Linked DNA regions of Arabidopsis thaliana. The protein of the gene in region 2 binds, or shares a complex with, the protein of the main gene of each other region. Each region holds a gene or a part of one and is shown on either strand. Other genes may lie near its edges.

Evidence for each region. Proteins that work in one complex are often made in the same cells at the same time.
Region 1: AT3G15970 (region 2) and GLE1 share a complex: the UniProt entries of both Arabidopsis thaliana proteins name them as parts of the nuclear pore complex.
Region 3: AT3G15970 (region 2) and AT1G75340 share a complex: the UniProt entries of both Arabidopsis thaliana proteins name them as parts of the nuclear pore complex.

Annotation. Positions count from the first base shown.
Region 1 is NC_003070.9:4,468,644-4,475,027, reverse strand, and holds GLE1 (nucleoporin GLE1-like protein), read left to right. Parts: upstream 1-1,708; 5' UTR 1,709-2,252; coding exon 2,253-2,254; intron 2,255-2,371; coding exon 2,372-2,536; intron 2,537-2,658; coding exon 2,659-2,814; intron 2,815-2,914; coding exon 2,915-3,026; intron 3,027-3,132; coding exon 3,133-3,281; intron 3,282-3,408; coding exon 3,409-3,758; intron 3,759-3,879; coding exon 3,880-3,989; intron 3,990-4,071; coding exon 4,072-4,142; intron 4,143-4,447; coding exon 4,448-4,529; intron 4,530-4,722; coding exon 4,723-4,791; intron 4,792-4,873; coding exon 4,874-4,957; intron 4,958-5,042; coding exon 5,043-5,111; intron 5,112-5,198; coding exon 5,199-5,327; intron 5,328-5,406; coding exon 5,407-5,694; 3' UTR 5,695-5,884; downstream 5,885-6,384. Other genes in the region: AT1G13130 (Cellulase (glycosyl hydrolase family 5) protein), read right to left, coding at 1-302; CYP71B7 (cytochrome P450, family 71 subfamily B, polypeptide 7), read right to left, coding at 6,171-6,384. UniProt on the Arabidopsis thaliana protein: Required for seed viability.
Region 2 is NC_003074.8:5,407,841-5,413,445, reverse strand, and holds AT3G15970 (NUP50 (Nucleoporin 50 kDa) protein), read left to right. Parts: upstream 1-2,292; 5' UTR 2,293-2,421; exon of another isoform or gene 2,422-2,912; intron 2,913-3,030; 5' UTR 3,031-3,066; coding exon 3,067-4,464; 3' UTR 4,465-4,654; downstream 4,655-5,605. Other genes in the region: AT3G15980 (Coatomer, beta' subunit), read left to right, coding at 220-416, 502-595, 680-786, 1,028-1,157, 1,252-1,431. UniProt on the Arabidopsis thaliana protein: Probably involved in nucleocytoplasmic transport via its interactions with importins and Ran, rather than by forming part of the nuclear pore complex (NPC) scaffolding.
Region 3 is NC_003070.9:28,268,470-28,273,786, reverse strand, and holds AT1G75340 (Zinc finger C-x8-C-x5-C-x3-H type family protein), read left to right. Parts: upstream 1-1,705; 5' UTR 1,706-1,913; coding exon 1,914-1,951; intron 1,952-2,061; coding exon of another isoform or gene 2,062-2,121; intron 2,122-2,312; coding exon 2,313-2,490; intron 2,491-2,650; coding exon 2,651-2,745; intron 2,746-2,849; coding exon 2,850-2,945; intron 2,946-3,035; coding exon 3,036-3,129; intron 3,130-3,240; coding exon 3,241-3,458; intron 3,459-3,553; coding exon 3,554-3,631; intron 3,632-3,731; coding exon 3,732-3,824; intron 3,825-3,930; coding exon 3,931-4,016; intron 4,017-4,096; coding exon 4,097-4,319; intron 4,320-4,443; coding exon 4,444-4,516; intron 4,517-4,598; coding exon 4,599-4,634; 3' UTR 4,635-4,817; downstream 4,818-5,317. Other genes in the region: emb2184 (Ribosomal protein L31), read right to left, coding at 1,100-1,465, 1,556-1,624; AT1G75335 (nucleolar-like protein), read right to left, coding at 4,921-5,211.

The DNA of each region.
Region 1 (6,384 bases), on a different chromosome or scaffold from region 2:
TCATTAGTCATCAAATCCAACGGCCAAGTTAACCTAACACAATTGAAACCCATTTCCACTATCTTCTTGGCCACTGCGTCCACTGGTTGTTTGCTCAGCCCTTCCGCTACAACGGGCTGGAGGTGTGATGGCCAGTTCGCACACACGAGCTTTACCCGTAGACCGTTCTCGTCGACGATCCAACGGGAGCTTGTGGAGAGAGGATAAGACATGTTTGGGACGGTGTTTTGTGCAATGAAGGAGAAGAAGAAACAGAAGAATGGGAAAATGAAAAACATGTGTTTTGGCTCTTTTGATGTCATTTCTTGTATGAAGTTTGTTCTTTTGTGTGTTGGAGAATCGATTTGACAACAGTCTTATTTATAGAGAGAGGGTTGAGGAGTAAATGTCTCTGTCGTAAAATTGTTCTTCCTTTACTATTCATACATATATCGTAAATTATTAGGTATGCTTTTAACATTTACTTTGATATTAGTTAGCCTCTTGTCCGTGTTAATCAACGAATGATAACAAAAGCCTTTAATTTTTACCCTTGCATCAACTTGAGCAGTATTTTCACCACCACATATTTTTGTCAACTGATCAGTACTTGTTGCTTATATGAAGTTCTTAATTAATTAAGACATACTAAATATTTTTGATAATCAACAAATTTTCTGAAAAAAAATAATCACTTTTTTTGGTATTGAGTGGTATTATTTTGATTTGATTCAAGAAGACTATTTAATTAAGATCTAGAATGCTTAAGTCACATAATTTTACTTTTCAACAGTATGTGTTATTTTGTCAACCATGTAGTTGATATATGCGTTTAATGTGTGTACGTACCCAAAACCAAATGCGTTACCAACTATCTGAATCTATTTACTTATTTAACCTATTTATATAAATGATTTCAATGCCATTTATTCATCTCAGCTGTATGTAATACAGCTATTTTAGCATTGTACTTCACTAGCTACTTTGTAAAAAACCCTTCCCCACTAATTGGCTTTCAACAAAATTAATGATGAATTAACAATTAAGAAATCTGATATTGGTAATTAATTCCCTGAATGTAATTTTATTTGCAAGATACAATTACTGTCTCGTAATTATAAATTTCACTACACTTTTTCACAAATCACAAGTTAAGGGAGACTTAAAAGCGTTGGACTCCACGACCGTTGAAGTTTAACCTACGTCCAAGTAAATACTCCTTTTGTGTTTGTTCTAAACACAAGATTTTGTTGCTTCGTAAATAAGAGAGAGATTTTTGCTTACCTTCAAGAAAGAAAGAAAAAATCTCATTTTTAAATATCACAAATATACGTAGACTTCTTAAAGCTAGTTATTATACTAGAAGTCTAGAAGTATAACATTTAACAAACATAACTTGACTGAATATATATCTAAGTTTTTTTTTTTGGTACGTTTCATTATATATGGATTAGGTTTTGTCATCACAAAACTCTACTTCATGAAAAAGCTATTTTCGTAAACCATGCTACTATATTTTAGTTTCTTTTACCGACAATTTTTTTTTTTTTTTACAGTATTTTGTTTTTTAAACTTTGTTCTGGAAAAAAAAACGATTTTCATAAGAAAGAAAATGTTACAAGGCCTTTTTAGGCCCAATCTTGTGGACTCTGTGAAACGGTCTAGGTCTAAGCATATTTTCCACACATATATAATTTGGAGAATCTAATCGACGATCGATCTGATTTTAAACCGACTGGACTGGTTCTCTATAACCGTTTGTAACTTAATTCTAAACGACATCGTTTTCGAGCATAGGGCTCTTTTGAACTTTTAGAAAACGAAGCCGATCTCTTGTCTGGTTTGGTTCGTGATTTCCGATTCTCCGATCCTAAAGTTTCCATTTTTTTGGGGGTTAAGTGAAATCGGCTCCTATAGCGTTGATATTACGCTTCTTCGTCCCGTTGGGGATATTAAAGCTTGTATTCTAGTTGAGTTAGAGAATCATCGAGATTTGTGCAGCACAAGAATCTTCGATTCAGAGAGTACGATTAAATTTAAAGGTAAGGGGCTTTATGGGAATTTGTAAAACAAGGCATGAGTTCGTCTTTATTGCTCAGAAGAAGCCAGAGACTATCTCTTGTGGAGCAAAGAATATGATTCAAGGATCCTATGAGTGAACCAAATTGTTTTGTGTCTTGAAGCTTCAAGGGGGTTTATAGGGTTTATCAAGGATTCACTAATTGTGTTATTGCTTCTTCTGTTTTGTTATCAGGGAATCACCCAATTGTGTAATGTAAGTTCTCTTCTTTTACGGGTTCCTTCAATTTCTCATCTTTGGAAACAAAGTTTGTTCTTTTTGGGATTTTACTGAGATTTTCTGTTTCAATTCTGTTTTAATTTTCTTTTGCAGGGGGATTGTTTTGGAACCTCCTTGTCCTAAAAGTGTTGATGGGATTAGCATTGATCCTGAGCCTAATTGGAATTTCGAGAGTTTGGTCGCTGAGATTGCTTCTGTTGAAAAGAAGCTCAATGGCTTCTCAATGTATCCTCAGCCAATTACTAACACAACCTTACGGTATATATATATCTATGTTTACTTCATTCTGGAGTTCTGTATTGAATTAGGACCAATAACAATGGCCTCAGAAATATTTGTGTTAATTTGTTTGGTATTGGTGTTCATTGGTATGTTAAAAGGATGGGAAGGAGAGGTGGAGGATTTGTAATGCATGTCTCAGAAGATGAGATGGAGAGTGACGAAGGTGAAGAGAGTGATGATGAGGAAGAAGAAGAAGATCATAGTCAAATCTGTACAGCGGGAAAACGTTTTGCCTGTGATGAGCTTTACTTGAGGTGATCATCACCAACTCTTCCTTGCTAGTTTGTTTCAAAATTAAGAAAGGCGTATTGAGGGTTGTTTGATGTTTTTATTGGTTATTTTTTGTTCATACAGTGATGAATCTGATGAAGAGTTTGATCATGAACCTGAGTATATGATGAATAAGTTGGGTCTGGCTGAGAGTGCCCTATATGAGGTTATCAACGACCACCAAACCGAAATCAAGGTGGGCAGATTTGTTTTGTTTTGTTAATAAAGAGGTACATATTGTGGAATGTTTTATTTCGCTTGGTGTACTTGATTAATTGAGCATTTGGTTCTCTTAATTACAGGACGACATTAGGAATCAAGTATCAGTTGTTGAAACAGAAATAATGAATGAGATTGAAACGTCTCTCTCTGCCATAGCCCGGGTTGAAAAGTACAGTGAGACTCGGAAAGAAGTTGAACGGAAACTTGATCTTCAATATCAGCGAAAAGTGTAAGCTATTCTTCCTAGCATTCTAGTTTCAGGAATACATTTTCTTACCAGTTCAGTTCATTTACTGTGATTTTTCTTCTTCCATTGTCTCCAAATTCTTAATGAGTTTTTCTTTTGCTGTTTTCAGTGCTGAAGCACTTGATACCCATCTGACTGCAGTCCAACGCGAACATAAAATTAAATCGCAAATAGAAGAAAGAAAGATAAGGAGCGAGGAAGCTCAGGAGGAGGCCAGGAGGAAGGAAAGGGCTCATCAAGAAGAGAAAATACGTCAAGAAAAAGCTCGCGCAGAGGCTCAAATGCTAGCAAAAATCAGAGCTGAAGAAGAAAAGAAAGAAGTTGAGAGAAAGGCAGCCAGAGAAGTAGCTGAAAAAGAAGTAGCAGATCGCAAAGCTGCCGAACAAAAACTTGCGGAACAGAAGGCTGTGATAGAGAGTGTTACGGGGAGTTCAGCTACATCAAATGCTCAAGCTGGGGGTGAGCTATCTTTTATTTAGTATCTATTTTCATCTATGTTGCTGTGATTGTTCTTTCTTTGTCATATTGAAGATTGTGATCTCATTTCTTACTGTGTTTATTTTTTTATTAATTGTGCAAGGTAATTCAATCCGAGCTGCAGAAAGTGCTTTGATATTGGAGAACCACAGATTGAAAAAGCTCGAAGAACTAGAAACAACGAACCAATCGCTTAAGTCACGTTCAAATGAAGTATCTACATCTTTTTACCGTTTTATCTGTCTGTCTAATCAACATTTGCTCACAAGTCATGTTGCTTATTTACTACTTGTAGAACTTTAGCAGTTTTGAGAAGCATATTGGAAGAGTGATAAGGCAAATAAGTGGGACAAAGGATAGTGTAAGGTATGGTTCATGGTTTCTGCCTTTAATTTATCAGTTTTTCCCCAGACAGGGTTTTAAGATTATTTGTTACATTTCATTGCAGCTTTGCCTTTCCTGTCCTCTAGTGGTATATGCCTAGCTTCTTTTAGCATTTTATTCCGATAGCCTTGATCTTGTTTAACTTGTGGAAATGTCAGTCTTAAGCCTTTGGTTAGAAAGATTTAGATACATTTAAGATGGTTTTGGTGTAACCTTACTTAAGCGTTCTTCATGGACTTTGGTTAATTTTCTTTATTCTTAACTACGTTTACTTTGGGCCTTTGCAGTGGGAAAATCAATGATATTGTGAAAATATTTAAAGACCCTCGTTGTCCGGTATCCATAAGTATTGCAGCTTTTGCAAAGAAGGTAACTTTTATATCTGGTCTGTTTAAGATTTACTTGTTCATCTATTGTTGAATGTTGAAAATGACTCAAACTGTTGTGCTCGGATCTAATTGGTGAAGAACTCTTTGATACGTTCATTTATTGGATTATCTTCTGGACTCTATGATTAGGAAACTGTGAACCGATGACATTAACGTTTTGCTGATTCTTTCAGATGGTCACCACTAAGGAAAAACCAAACCCTTTTGCATGCAGCTATGTCATTGTTTACATCAACTCACAGGTACAAAATTACTTTTGATTTGTACAGTGCATTTTTGTTCTTGTTACTGTTATTGAATATAATCTACCATTTATGCCTACAGTTTCCCCAAGTTATGGATATTCTTCTCGCGGAATTCCACAAAGCTTGCATTTACACTGTCCCAAAGCATATTGTAAACTCACAGGTAAATAAACTTCTTAAGAAATCTATTTTGACAGAATTGTGAAAAAATAGTGTCTTTCTTATTAATTATCTCCTAATGAATTCAGTCAGCTTGGGATTCAGACGCATATGAACGCCTAGATTCTATAATGAGGCTCTACGGTGCACTTGTTCAGGTTTTTGCCTCTTTTATGCAACTATCTCTTATGCATTGTTATTTCCATAATCCGCTAATGCGAGTCTTTTTCTAATGGTAATTACAGACCGATATCCGCGTTGGCAATGCTACTAACGTTCATGGGATAGAACATGGATGGGCTTGGTTAGCCCGGTTCCTTAACAAAATCCCAGCCAACAGAGCCACTGCGACAGCCTTGAACTCCTTTCTCCAGGTTTGCATTGATTGTGGTTACCGATTCTAAATATAAAATCGTCTTTAAAACCATAACGGTGGTATATGTTTATGTGTAGACGGCTGGGTTTGGTCTTCATCAGAGGTACAAATCTCAGTTTCTGAAGGTTGTGAATGTTGTGAGAGAGCATTTCTTGCAGAAATTGCGGGCGAAGAAGGACACGTCGGATCTACTTGTGATCATAGCCGAAATCACAGCGTACTTAGATGACCGGATGTATCTCAAGGAACCTGAAGGAAGAGCTATGAAGACGACTAGTACCTTGTCCTCTGAACTTACTGCTGAATTAAATCAGCCGAACTACAATCAGAATTACCAGAGGAATGATTACAGAAACTACTATTGATTTGATGTTGTAACATTTCGTCGGATAGAAAAACCCATCTCAATTTTCATCAATGTTGTAACACTATAGTTGTCTCACAAGAAGCATTCTTTTGCTTTTATTTCAATTCTTGTTTCATTTTTAACCATTTCTTTGTTTGATAATGTTAACTAATCCTACCTGTTATTTAATTTAAGCATATGATAATTGGTCTCTGTTAAATACCTTTTCTATTCACGGTAACGTGGGCGGCCAACCCAAATATAGTAATGCGTTTTGCGGATCTAATTAATTAATTTGTCTTTTATCCTAACTAGTTCTAATTAAATAATTTAATTCTCATAATTTAATTGTTTAAAAACACTTGTGTTTAGTTGTTTAAAAAACAAAAACTTGTGTTGATATCACTATTCAGATTATGATTACAACCATATCAAGATAAAGAAGCTGGATACAAATACATAATCTTATGGACTAATTGTTTCATGATCGTCATTTCAATGATGAACAAGTGGAACAAGCTCAAGGGTTGTCTTCTTGCTAATAATGATTGATCCTGTTTCTTCCAAGTTGATGTCCTTCACATTCTTCCCTACAGGCACTACCCAATCGAAGAAGTAAAGCAAATTCAACAGTCCCAATTCCACGGTGGTGATTCCCAGCGTCATCCCGGGACAGATTCTCCGGCCAGAACCAAATGGTAACAGCTCA
Region 2 (5,605 bases):
GTTGCCCAATGATTTGTAGTGGAAAATAGAAAAATAACTTTCTTTGCAAATGCTATATATCAGTCAGTTTACTACTTTACATTGTATCTATAGGAGCAAATTGGTATATTTAGATCTTACAATGCCAATGAGCTTTCTTCTAGCTTTTGCGGATTCATTGCTGATATCTACTACTTACTAAGTGATTCTCTTGCATTTGTGTGTGTTCTATCATGATAGCTGCAATTGGCCGAGGATTGCATGAAGTACGCTATGGATTTGAGTGGTTTGTTACTACTATATTCTTCTTTGGGAGATGCTGAAGGGGTGTCAAAACTTGCATGCCTTGCTAAGGAACAGGGGAAGAACAATGTTGCCTTTCTTTGCTTATTTACGCTGGGTAGATTGGAAGATTGTCTGCAGTTATTGGTGGAGAGGTATTTCATTACTGTTCACTTGGCCGTTTGGAAAAATCAAATATGTGTCTTTTGTTATCTTTATGACAAGAAATTATCTTGACAGTAACCGGATACCAGAAGCTGCTCTGATGGCACGTTCTTATCTTCCAAGCAAAGTTTCGGAGATAGTAGCTCTATGGAGGGAAGATCTCAGCAAGGTTATTTTCGCATCTTTTTTTTGTTTACTGTGTCAATGAGAAAATTCATCATGTGGCTTTAAATTGCCTTTGACTTGTCATCAGGTTAATCCAAAAGCAGCTGAATCTTTAGCTGATCCTGAAGAGTACTCAAATCTTTTTGAGGATTGGCAAGTTGCTCTTTCTGTTGAAGCGAACACTGCAGAGACAAGGTATCCGAGCACTTATTTTCTGCTATTCGCATTTTTCTTCCATGGTCGTTATGGCTTTCGAACTGTAGTTCAATAATTATATATGTACCTAGATATGATTGTACGGATGTGATGGATGCCTTAGGAAAAGAACTTCATACTTGAGCCACTCATTTTTCCCATGATTATGCATTGAGATGTTCATACTCAAGCGTGTTATTATTTAGGCCAACCCAAAAAATTGACTCTTATTTATCTACAGGGGAGTTTATACCGCTGCAGAAAATTATCCATCCCATGCCGATAAACCTTCCATTACCCTTGTGGAAGCCTTTAGAAACCTGCAAGTTGAAGCAGAGGAATCACTTGAAAATGGAAACATCGATCACGAGGTAACTTCTTTTGGAAGTGATTCGTTTGCTAAGAAGCAAAGAGCTTTATTTTCCACAGGAGTAGTTACTGAATTGTTTTTTGAACTTTGTGCAGGTAGCAGAAGAAAACGGTCATGTAGAGAATGAAGGAGATGAAGAGGAACAACAGGAAGAAGAAGTGAATGAAGAAGAGGGAGTTGTGGATGCAGACTCTACGGACGGTGCTGTACTTGTTAATGGAAGTGAGGGTGAGGAAGAGTGGGGTACGAATAACAAAGGAAACCCATCAGCCTAATAAGCAAGTCAGTCCAGGATCAATGTTGAATAGTCGAAATTTTGTCTCTGGTGATTAAATTGAAACCTCTCCCCCAAAAAAGAAAAACATTTTGCCGCTTCTAACATTTCTATATGATTATATGTCTCATTACCCTTAGTAACACAATCTTTGAGTTGGCATAAATATGGGTTTAGTTATACGAGTTAACTTTATTATAATCTCTGCATCAATGTGGCTAATACTTGGAGACTTGTCTCTCAAAACCCCTCCATCTTTGCCAAAAGTGAACTTATCGTTTTTGTTTTGTTTTGCAGTGCTTACGCCACATCCCTAGCTAGATCCAGTAGCCGGCACCGATACTCCAAGGTAAAGATCTATCATCCTTATTCATGAGTTCAAACCTCTATGAAACTGGACCATGAATTAACTTCAATCATATATTTTTGGATCCATTTTGTAGCAGGAATCGATTCTTGGTGGATGGAGAGTATAAAGACGAAGATGGGATTGGTGGATTAAGGAATTTGGTGTTGTGGTTTTTTCAACTAATGATTGTGGTTTTCATCTGAAAGAGTATATTATAACACAGTAGAGAGTTATACAAATTTTCTGCTTTAGATTTCAGCTCAAAATTACAAATTTCTGGTGCATATATAATTCTTTGGAAGCCTTTATCACTTTAATTTCCACTCTTTTTGAATAACTTAGTTAAGGATTGTCCTATAAAGTTATAACATTAGCTATACAAATCTGCAAGAAGTATTTTACAACAAATGAGCTACGACAATACAACATGTTATATACAAAACGTAAACATCTTATTACATGCGATGACTATCAGCAACAATATCGATTTGGATATAAATATAACAAATAATACAAAAATATAAACTCGATTTATTACCATTTTTCCAATGTGCTGACAAGATTCGTTTTCTCTTTTATCACTCCCCTCGGCGATCTCTCTTCTTGCTCCGGCAGGGTTTTTCTGCTGCTCCTTGCTTGTCCGTAAGTTCTCCGAATCTTCATTTTCTCGCTGGTCTCGTTGGCCGAATCTGGATTTTTCTAATTCCCTTTTCTTCTATATACTCATCTCACTGCTCGCTGCTCTGGTTCTTAGGGTTTTGTCATAGTTCTGTTGTTGGATTTTTTTTCTACGGCTCCTTTTGAACCTCCTTGCTAGATTATCCTTGTGTGCGTTTCTGGAATTAGCTGTTTCTTCAGATTCCTGTTTTGTGTTTGCTGAATTAGTTTGGGGTTTTTGATTTCAAATTTCTTCTGTACTATCATATGATTTGCGATCGCGTGGTGAATTGTTAACATGTGCTCATATATACGCTCTTGTTGCCTCTAGATTTTTGTCTCGTGTTCATTATCAATTTCAATTGCAGTAGCATGTTAACTTAGGTTTCCTTGATTTAAAGAATCACACATTGTCTATGGTTGGTAACTTATGTGCGTACAAATTGGGCGTCCTATTCCTGTTTGGATGGTTACAGGTTAGAACTATGCTTTCAACATATAAGCTCGGGACTTCCTTATCCGCGAGATTGATTCTGGTTATTTGGTTGTTAACACAATCTTGATGTATCTTTTTTTTGTTGCATGGTGTTGTAGGGACTCTAGCTTGCCTGTAACTGTTAAGAGATTACAATGGGGGACTCCGATAATGCTATACCATTTTCCAGAAAGAGAACTGCTCTGAAAGAGCTGTCTCGTGACAATCCTGGTCTTGATGATGATGATGAAGACACTTCTGCACTCGAGAGTGGTACCTTCAACACTGCTAGTAAGGAGGTGTTGGCAAGCAGAAGAATTATCAGAGTTAGGCGCACAGATCGATCTGCTACTGCACCACCAGCTTCTAATCCATTTACTGGAATTCGTTTGGTTCCTTTTACTGCTCCTGCTCCTTCTACTGCTGCTGCAGAAACGACTAAACCTCTGTCTGCGGGAAAACAAGAGACACTGGCTGATGGAAGGTCTGATGCTACCAAGGAAACTGATGGTGACAGTAAAGAAAAGAGTGACGCAATTGATGCTGTAGGAAAACAAGAGACACAGGGTGATGAAATATCTGCTAAGACCAAGGATATTATTGATGGTGGAGAGAAAGAGATGAGTGAGGCAGTTAATTCCGTAGAGGGTGGTGGAGCTGTAAACAAGAATGAAGACGAGATTAAGACAACGATGGTTACTGAAGTTGCTGCTGGGGAAGAGACTGTAAAAGATGACAACAACAATAGCAACACTGTTGAGGGAAGTGACTGTGTTGTCAAGGATACAGGTGGTAATCAGACTGAGAAAGAAGGAAAAGAGGGCGATGGAAATGAAGACACAGAGAAAAATGGAGATAGTGGAGCCTTGAGCTCCTTCCACCAGCACTCAAGTAGCAAAAACGCATTCACAGGACTTGCTAGCACAGGGTTCTCTGCTTCTTCGTTCTCGTTCGGTTTGGTTCCACAAGAAGGTTCGACTGGGTCTGGTTCTGAACAGTCATCCTTCAGTTTTGGCCAAGCAAACAATGGAAACTCTTCCCTGTTTGGTGCATCCGTTGCTACTTCCATTACCACGAAGAGCACGGAAACTACTACTGCCTTCCCATCAAAGCAAGATGTTTCAGTGGAAACAGGAGAAGAGAACGAAAAAGCAGCCTTCACAGCTGACTCAGTAATGTTCGAATATCTTGAGGGAGGATGGAAAGAGCGTGGGAAAGGAGAACTCAAGGTGAATATATCAACGACTGAAAACAGAAAAGCCAGGTTAGTAATGAGATCAAAAGGAAACTACAGGTTGACCTTAAACGCAAGTCTTTACCCGGAAATGAAACTGGCTAAAATGGACAAGAAAGGAATCACATTTGCTTGTGTGAATAGTGTAAGTGACGCCAAGGATGGTCTCTCTACATTGGCACTGAAGTTCAAGGACCCAACAGTGGTGGAAGAGTTCCGAGCAGTTATCGAAGAACATAAAGACAGTAAACCTTCCGTTGCAGAAGCAGCAGCTCCTTTGAAGACACCTGAGAACTCACCGAGTGCTGAAGATGCTTGAAGGTTAAAAACTTTGAAACAACTCGTCGTCTAGTATCCTTGTGTTCTATTTGTCTATGTTGTTTGAAGTTCAAATTTGGCAGAGAGAATAGAGAGACTATATAGATCACTTGAACTCCTTATGGGTCTCTTATGAATGAATATTCGAAGTTACTGTTTTTAACATAATCTATCATATAACTCAGCATCAATTACATTCATAGTCATACATATCCGGCATAATCAGTAGCCAATCCAGTATAAAAAAAAAAACTCATTCAAGGCCAGACAATCTTGTCGCAAACGGAACATATGTTAGAATCCGGTTTCCATATAAACAATTGACAAGTATTTTGAGTGAAAACCATTTCTCTTAAGGTTGGTTTGGGGTGGGTTCTTGAATAATGGCTACATTACCTCTTTCCCACTATTGATCAGGATTTTGTACAGTAGTGGTTCGTATTAGTGTTTGCCGCCATGTTATGAACAATGTTCATGAAGTTCACCACAAGTGATGTGCTTCATCGTACAGTTGATTTGCAATGTTGCAAATAATATTTAAGATGGAATGGTGATCACAAATTGTCCTACGATTTTGAGATAGTTGTCGTTACAATATTGTTGGAACTGCAACTTGGCTCATGAGGCTTGATATGAATTTGCTAACGAAGATAAAGTTTCATGGGAATTTTGATCTCTTTGCTGTGAAATTACATGAGAATTGAAATTTTGATCATTGCATTTGCTTCCATGAAGAAAACCGGTACAACGGAATGTTCTTAGTCTAAAAATCAGAAATTGTGGTGGAGCCATACATTAGGATTCGACAAACACTGATAGTTTCAGGTCCTATTTAAGTTTTTTTAGTTCCTTTTTGTTTTGTTGATGGTTAATTTAAGTTCTGAAAATGATAACACTACATAGGAATATCAAGACACAAGGGATTAAAATTAGATTACAGGAATAAACATATGGAAGAGTATACAATTAGATTTGGAAGACTTGGCCCATGAGACTTTATATGTTTCTTGCCACGACTCACGAGATATAGCTTCGTGAGAAGATTGATCTCCTTATGGTGAAATGAAATTACATGTGAACTGAGACATTATGTTTCTATCATTGCTTCCATGAAATTGCGTTTCTTCTTCCTTGTTGTTTTT
Region 3 (5,317 bases), on a different chromosome or scaffold from region 2:
TTAAAACACCTTCTTTTTGTGTGTCTAAAGTCTTTAAGATAATATTTTAAGACTCAATTTTAGTCAAGATCGCAAATCATTGATAAGAAAGGATCTAAGACTTCAACCAACGAATGAATTTAGTTTAACTCAATTATTCAGATTCAACTGCATCGATCAGCATATGAAGTATGTAGAGATGTCAAAACCCAATTTACTAACGGATTAAAAAGCCCACAGGTTTTCCTTTTGAACTTCAGTGAAAACTTTGGTAGCTTAGTTAAGAAGCAGAAGACTCCAGCTGAGAGGAAATGGGCCTAAAATAGCCCACACATTCGACTGTCTTCAAATGGGCTTGAGACGGCCTGATATTGGTTTGGCTTGATATTGGTAAAACCTCTGATTGAGCTGGAGTATTCTGTTTCTGTTCAATATTGGTCACACAAATTCAGTAGTAGTATACAATTGGGCATGATCACAGAATCTTCAACTTCAAGTGCCAAAAATTTTCTTTTATGTTCTCAAGCAAAACATACTCCTACGCCATGGCCACAGTTCAAGAATCTGCTCACTATTAGTACGCCACTTCGTCGTCAGAAGACAAATGTTTTGCCTGATAACTTCAGCAGACACTTACATAGACCATGATCATCATGTTCAACATCTTATAAATCTATGTAAAAATGATCTCAATCAACTAATCAACACACCACTTACACATCAACAACAACTACCTACACTAGTCATTAATCTCATGCCATAACTTTCCAAGATTATCACAAAATGTGGCAAAAGCCACAACCTTTCTTTCATTTGCAATTACCATTTCATAGGCATTGTTGCTATGTTTCTCTCACCAGTGTATATCTATCTATTATCCATCACAAATTCATGCCAAACTCACAAGCTAAAGATTTGTCCTTGAGATTCGCTACTACTTGTATCATTGCTCTGAGATCCTAGTCTCACTCTCAATGAAACCAAATAGATCTTAAAGAAAGCATAACCAATAGCATTCAGAAGAAAATTCACATACAATTTTTAACAGCCTAAGCAGTATCTCGACTTCAATTGAAAAGACAACAAATTCAAAGACATAAGCTTTACCAGAAAAGACTCATCATTTCTTCTTCCCTTTGGGACCTTTACTTTTCTTAGTAGGCATAATGATTTCTCCTTTAAGCACAGGAATCTCCATAATCTCAGAAAGCCCAGCGAACCTCTTACGAAACTTCTCAACTTGATCAGCATCAACCATCAAAGCCGAACGATTCCCGAGGTAAAACGGATGGTTACCTGACCATACATCAACCACATACTCTTTCTTTGTTCCTCCTGTAGTCATCACCAGCTCTCCATTGCAGTAAACCTTTGCGTCTTCGTGGAATTCAGGATGCAATTCCTTCTTACGACACGTTATCTGAACCACCGTATTGCTGCTTCTTCTCACCGATTGTTTTCCTCCTTTCACTGCCGCCATCACCGGCTAATTTTGAAAAAAAAACACAAACAAATTTAGTGATTTTGGGGAAGGAGGAGAAATAGACGAAGAATGAGAAATCGATTTCGAGCTTACCTTTCTTAATTGCAGAGAAGGAACACATGGGCTAATCTGAAGAAACGAGTTCGGGAGAGAAACCGCCATTTTTGTCTTCAGGAGCTATCTTCTTCTTTTTTCCTGGTGATAGAGAAGAAACGAAGTAACGATTGATGGATAAGAGAATGAGGATGATGAAGTGTATTGGAGTTACGTTTATAACCCTAAATACTTTGAAGATATGTAAGGGTAATATGGTAATTTACATAGAGACTTCCTTTTGTTCTGTTGATACACTCTTCGTCAATCTAACGCTTCTTCATTTTTCTCGAGAGAAGCAAAACTACATATATATATACGCACATACGTACACAGTTCGAAGGTTTTAGCTGCGAGTATGAGGAAGGAACTGTGTAGAAACTTTCAGCGTGGCAGGTAAATACTCTTTTCATCATCATCATCTTCTTCTTCATCTGTTCTAGTTTTTGTTTTGATTCAATTTGTTGTTTTATAAGAGTTTTTGAAGTTTGTTTCGATTGCTGAAGTTTAGGTTTCGTGTTCTATATTCTGGGGTTTAATTTGAAATCAATCGATGTGCGAAGGTGGTAATGTGTTAGAAAACGATGTCTATTGAGCTGAAATCTAAATGAATCATACAGTTTATTGACTTTGATAGATTCTAATCTTCGTTTCCGCCATTAATGAGGGTTGATTTGCTTCGGAAGTTATGATTAGTGATAGTAGAAGCTTAGAGACGTAATTATTGGACTCATCGTCCTTTGTGCTGTTTTTGCAGTTGTAGGTATGGGGAAAACTGTAGATTTCTTCATCCACAACAAGCTAAGCCAAATAATCCCTTTGGCTTTGGTACACAAAACCAACAACAACAACAGCAGCAGCAGCAACAAAATAGTTCGAACCCTTTTGGATTTGGTGTACAAAGTGGTGGTTCCAGCAGACCGAATCAGTTCCAGGTCAATTTGTTTTTTTCCTCTTTTAAGATGCAAGTATTGCTTTGATAGAATGCAAGTTATCGTTCGGCTTTGGATGAGAAAAATGGTGCATCTTCTTTAAGAAACGAAAGCATTTTGCCTGTTGAATGAATGGTGACATGATGATGCTTTTGCAAATCAGAATACTTGGTCACGAACGGCTTCTACACCTACTGGTGGTGGTGCTGCTGCTTCTACACAGCAGACTGGTAAACAGACGCAGCCGGCAGATCATAAGTGAGTGTATATATGTTTACATATGCTTGTTCTATCAATTATCATCCTTTTAGCCGTTTGTTTCTTTGGAAATTTACTGTTTCTCTCTTGGTTACTATACAAAGATGCACAGATCCTGCTGCGTGTAAGCGGGTAATGCAAGACGATTTTAAGAATGAGAGACCCATGTGGAAGCTCACATGCTACGGCCACTGGAAATAGTATGTATTACTTCATTTGGTTTAGCATCCTTGATCTTTATCCATTCTTTATAAACGTGTCTGATTTTTTCTATCTTTTTTTTCTTCTAGTTTTCCATGTGATGTTACCGGTGATATCAGCTATGAAGAACTACGTGCAGTGGCATATGAAGAAGCTAAACGAGGAATACCTCTACAGTCGATTGTGAGATTAACCTTTCTTGTGTTTGTTATACTTTACACTGGTTTTCATTTCATACTGATAAGACATAAGTTGATTTCCTCTTTTCCTGGCTTATTATGGTGCATTATATAGGTTGAAAGGGAGAGGAATCTGCAAAATTCCAAAATAGCCGAGTTTGAAAACTTTCTACGGAATCCATACAAAGGCTCTGTTACCGCCAATCAAAGCCCGTTTGCTGCAACCACTCCTAGTATCTTCCCTCAGTCCAGTCAGATCAATTCCCCTTCTCCAGCATTCTCTGGCTTTAATCAACAAACTGCATTCTCCAATACCAATGCGGGTGGACTCAGGTATCAACTTTTGTGGGATTTCTCCAATTTTCATATCCCAAAAAGTTTGTGTTGCCTTCAAACTAACTCTCGGTTTCCATTTTTCCTCGACATAGTTCATCTGGACCTCCGAATGCCTTTGCAAGCTTCAATCAACAAACTACATTCCCCAATACCAATGCTGGTGGAGTCAGGTACTAACTTTCTCCATATTCCATATTCAAACAAGTTTGTGTTACCTTTATAACCTCTTGGTTCCCATATTTCTCTTTGGCCAACTATTCCTCTGCATAGTTCATCTGGACCTCCGAACCCCTTTGCAAGCTTTACTCAACAATCAAATAATCAACAAACTGCATTCTCCAATACCAACGCTGGTGGTCTCAGGTATCAACTTTTGTGGGCTTTCTCCATTTTCCAAATTCCGTAAAGGGGTGCCTTCATGAAAACTCTGTTTCCATATTTCTCTCTGGCCAATGATTCCTCTACATAGTTCATCTGGACCTCCGAATGCCTTTGCAAGCTTTAATAAACAACCAAATGCTTTCAGCGTCAACACTCCTCAACCTGTTCCTTCAGGTACTACTTCTAATGTTAAACTTTGCTTAAAGGCCAAGAGACTCGCCATCATCTGAAACCTCTTTTGCAAATGATCACAGGTCCCTCTGGTTTCCAAACCAATCCATCAACAACATTCAAACCAGCATCATTTGGACCTGGACCCGGATTTGCCACAACTCCACAAAACAATAACATCTTTGGTCAATCAACTCCAACACCGGCTACAAACACTTCCCAGAACAATCAGACCGCATTCAACTTCAATGTCCCTGTTGCATCTTTTACTGCTCCTGCTATAAACACGACAAATACATCTTCCGGGTAAGTCCTCAATCTGTTTCCAGGTTTTTTCTATAGTTAAAAACCGTTGTTGAACATGTTGACAGAGTTAATCAAAACATACTATGATGTTTCATACGTTTCTAACTTGAATCATTTGCGGCAGAACCGAGCTGCAAATAGGTGGTGATCCTGTTGATAGTAGTATCTGGCTAAAGGAGAAATGGAATCCAGGGGAGGTAAATTGCTCAAAACTAATCATTTAAGTTGTTTCCAAAAAATTTATTGCTCTTAGATTAATTTGTTGCTTTTGTTGTGCAGATTCCGGAACAAGCGCCGCCTGATGCCTTTGTTTAACAATATGAAGAATGTCATTGAAACAATTACGTATAGGCCAGAGTCGCAAATTGGCGCAGAAGAGTTGTTTTTTCTTGGTCATCTCAGATTTGTGACCAATGTAGTTTCTCCACAAAATCCAAAGTTTTGAACCTTAACAATAATTTCAATGCAGATAACAGAAACTATAAACAAGAGAATTCTAAAAATCAAATCTTTCTCACCAAGTGAACATCTTTCAACTACAACAACATTCCCACAAAATTTGAAAGCTTTTCTTAATTCCACTACAATTTTTTGATCAACTTCAAACAACGATCTCGCTGGATTTTCTCTTTTTCTTACTCTTCTTCCTCTCTTCCGAACCCATCTCTCGATGACTCTTCCTCTTCTTCTTAGAGCTTAGCTTCGTCTCCTTTGATTTAATCTCCCTATGGATGCTCTTCAATTCAATAAAGGCACCGGAAGCTCGTCGAAGGTACGCGCTAACATCTTGAGAGGCTCCATTCTCAGAAGAAACGAATCCGGAGAGAAGAGTAGCCGCCTTTGATAGAGAGATTGGCTTTGCACTGTTAACTCTTCCGGTGACCGTCTTCATCGGAACAACAAGCTCAAGGAAGATGGTCACAAATTAGGGCAAGTTGAAAAATAAATAAACCTTTTTATACATAGAATTGAAAATGGGCCTAGTGGAAAAAGCCCAA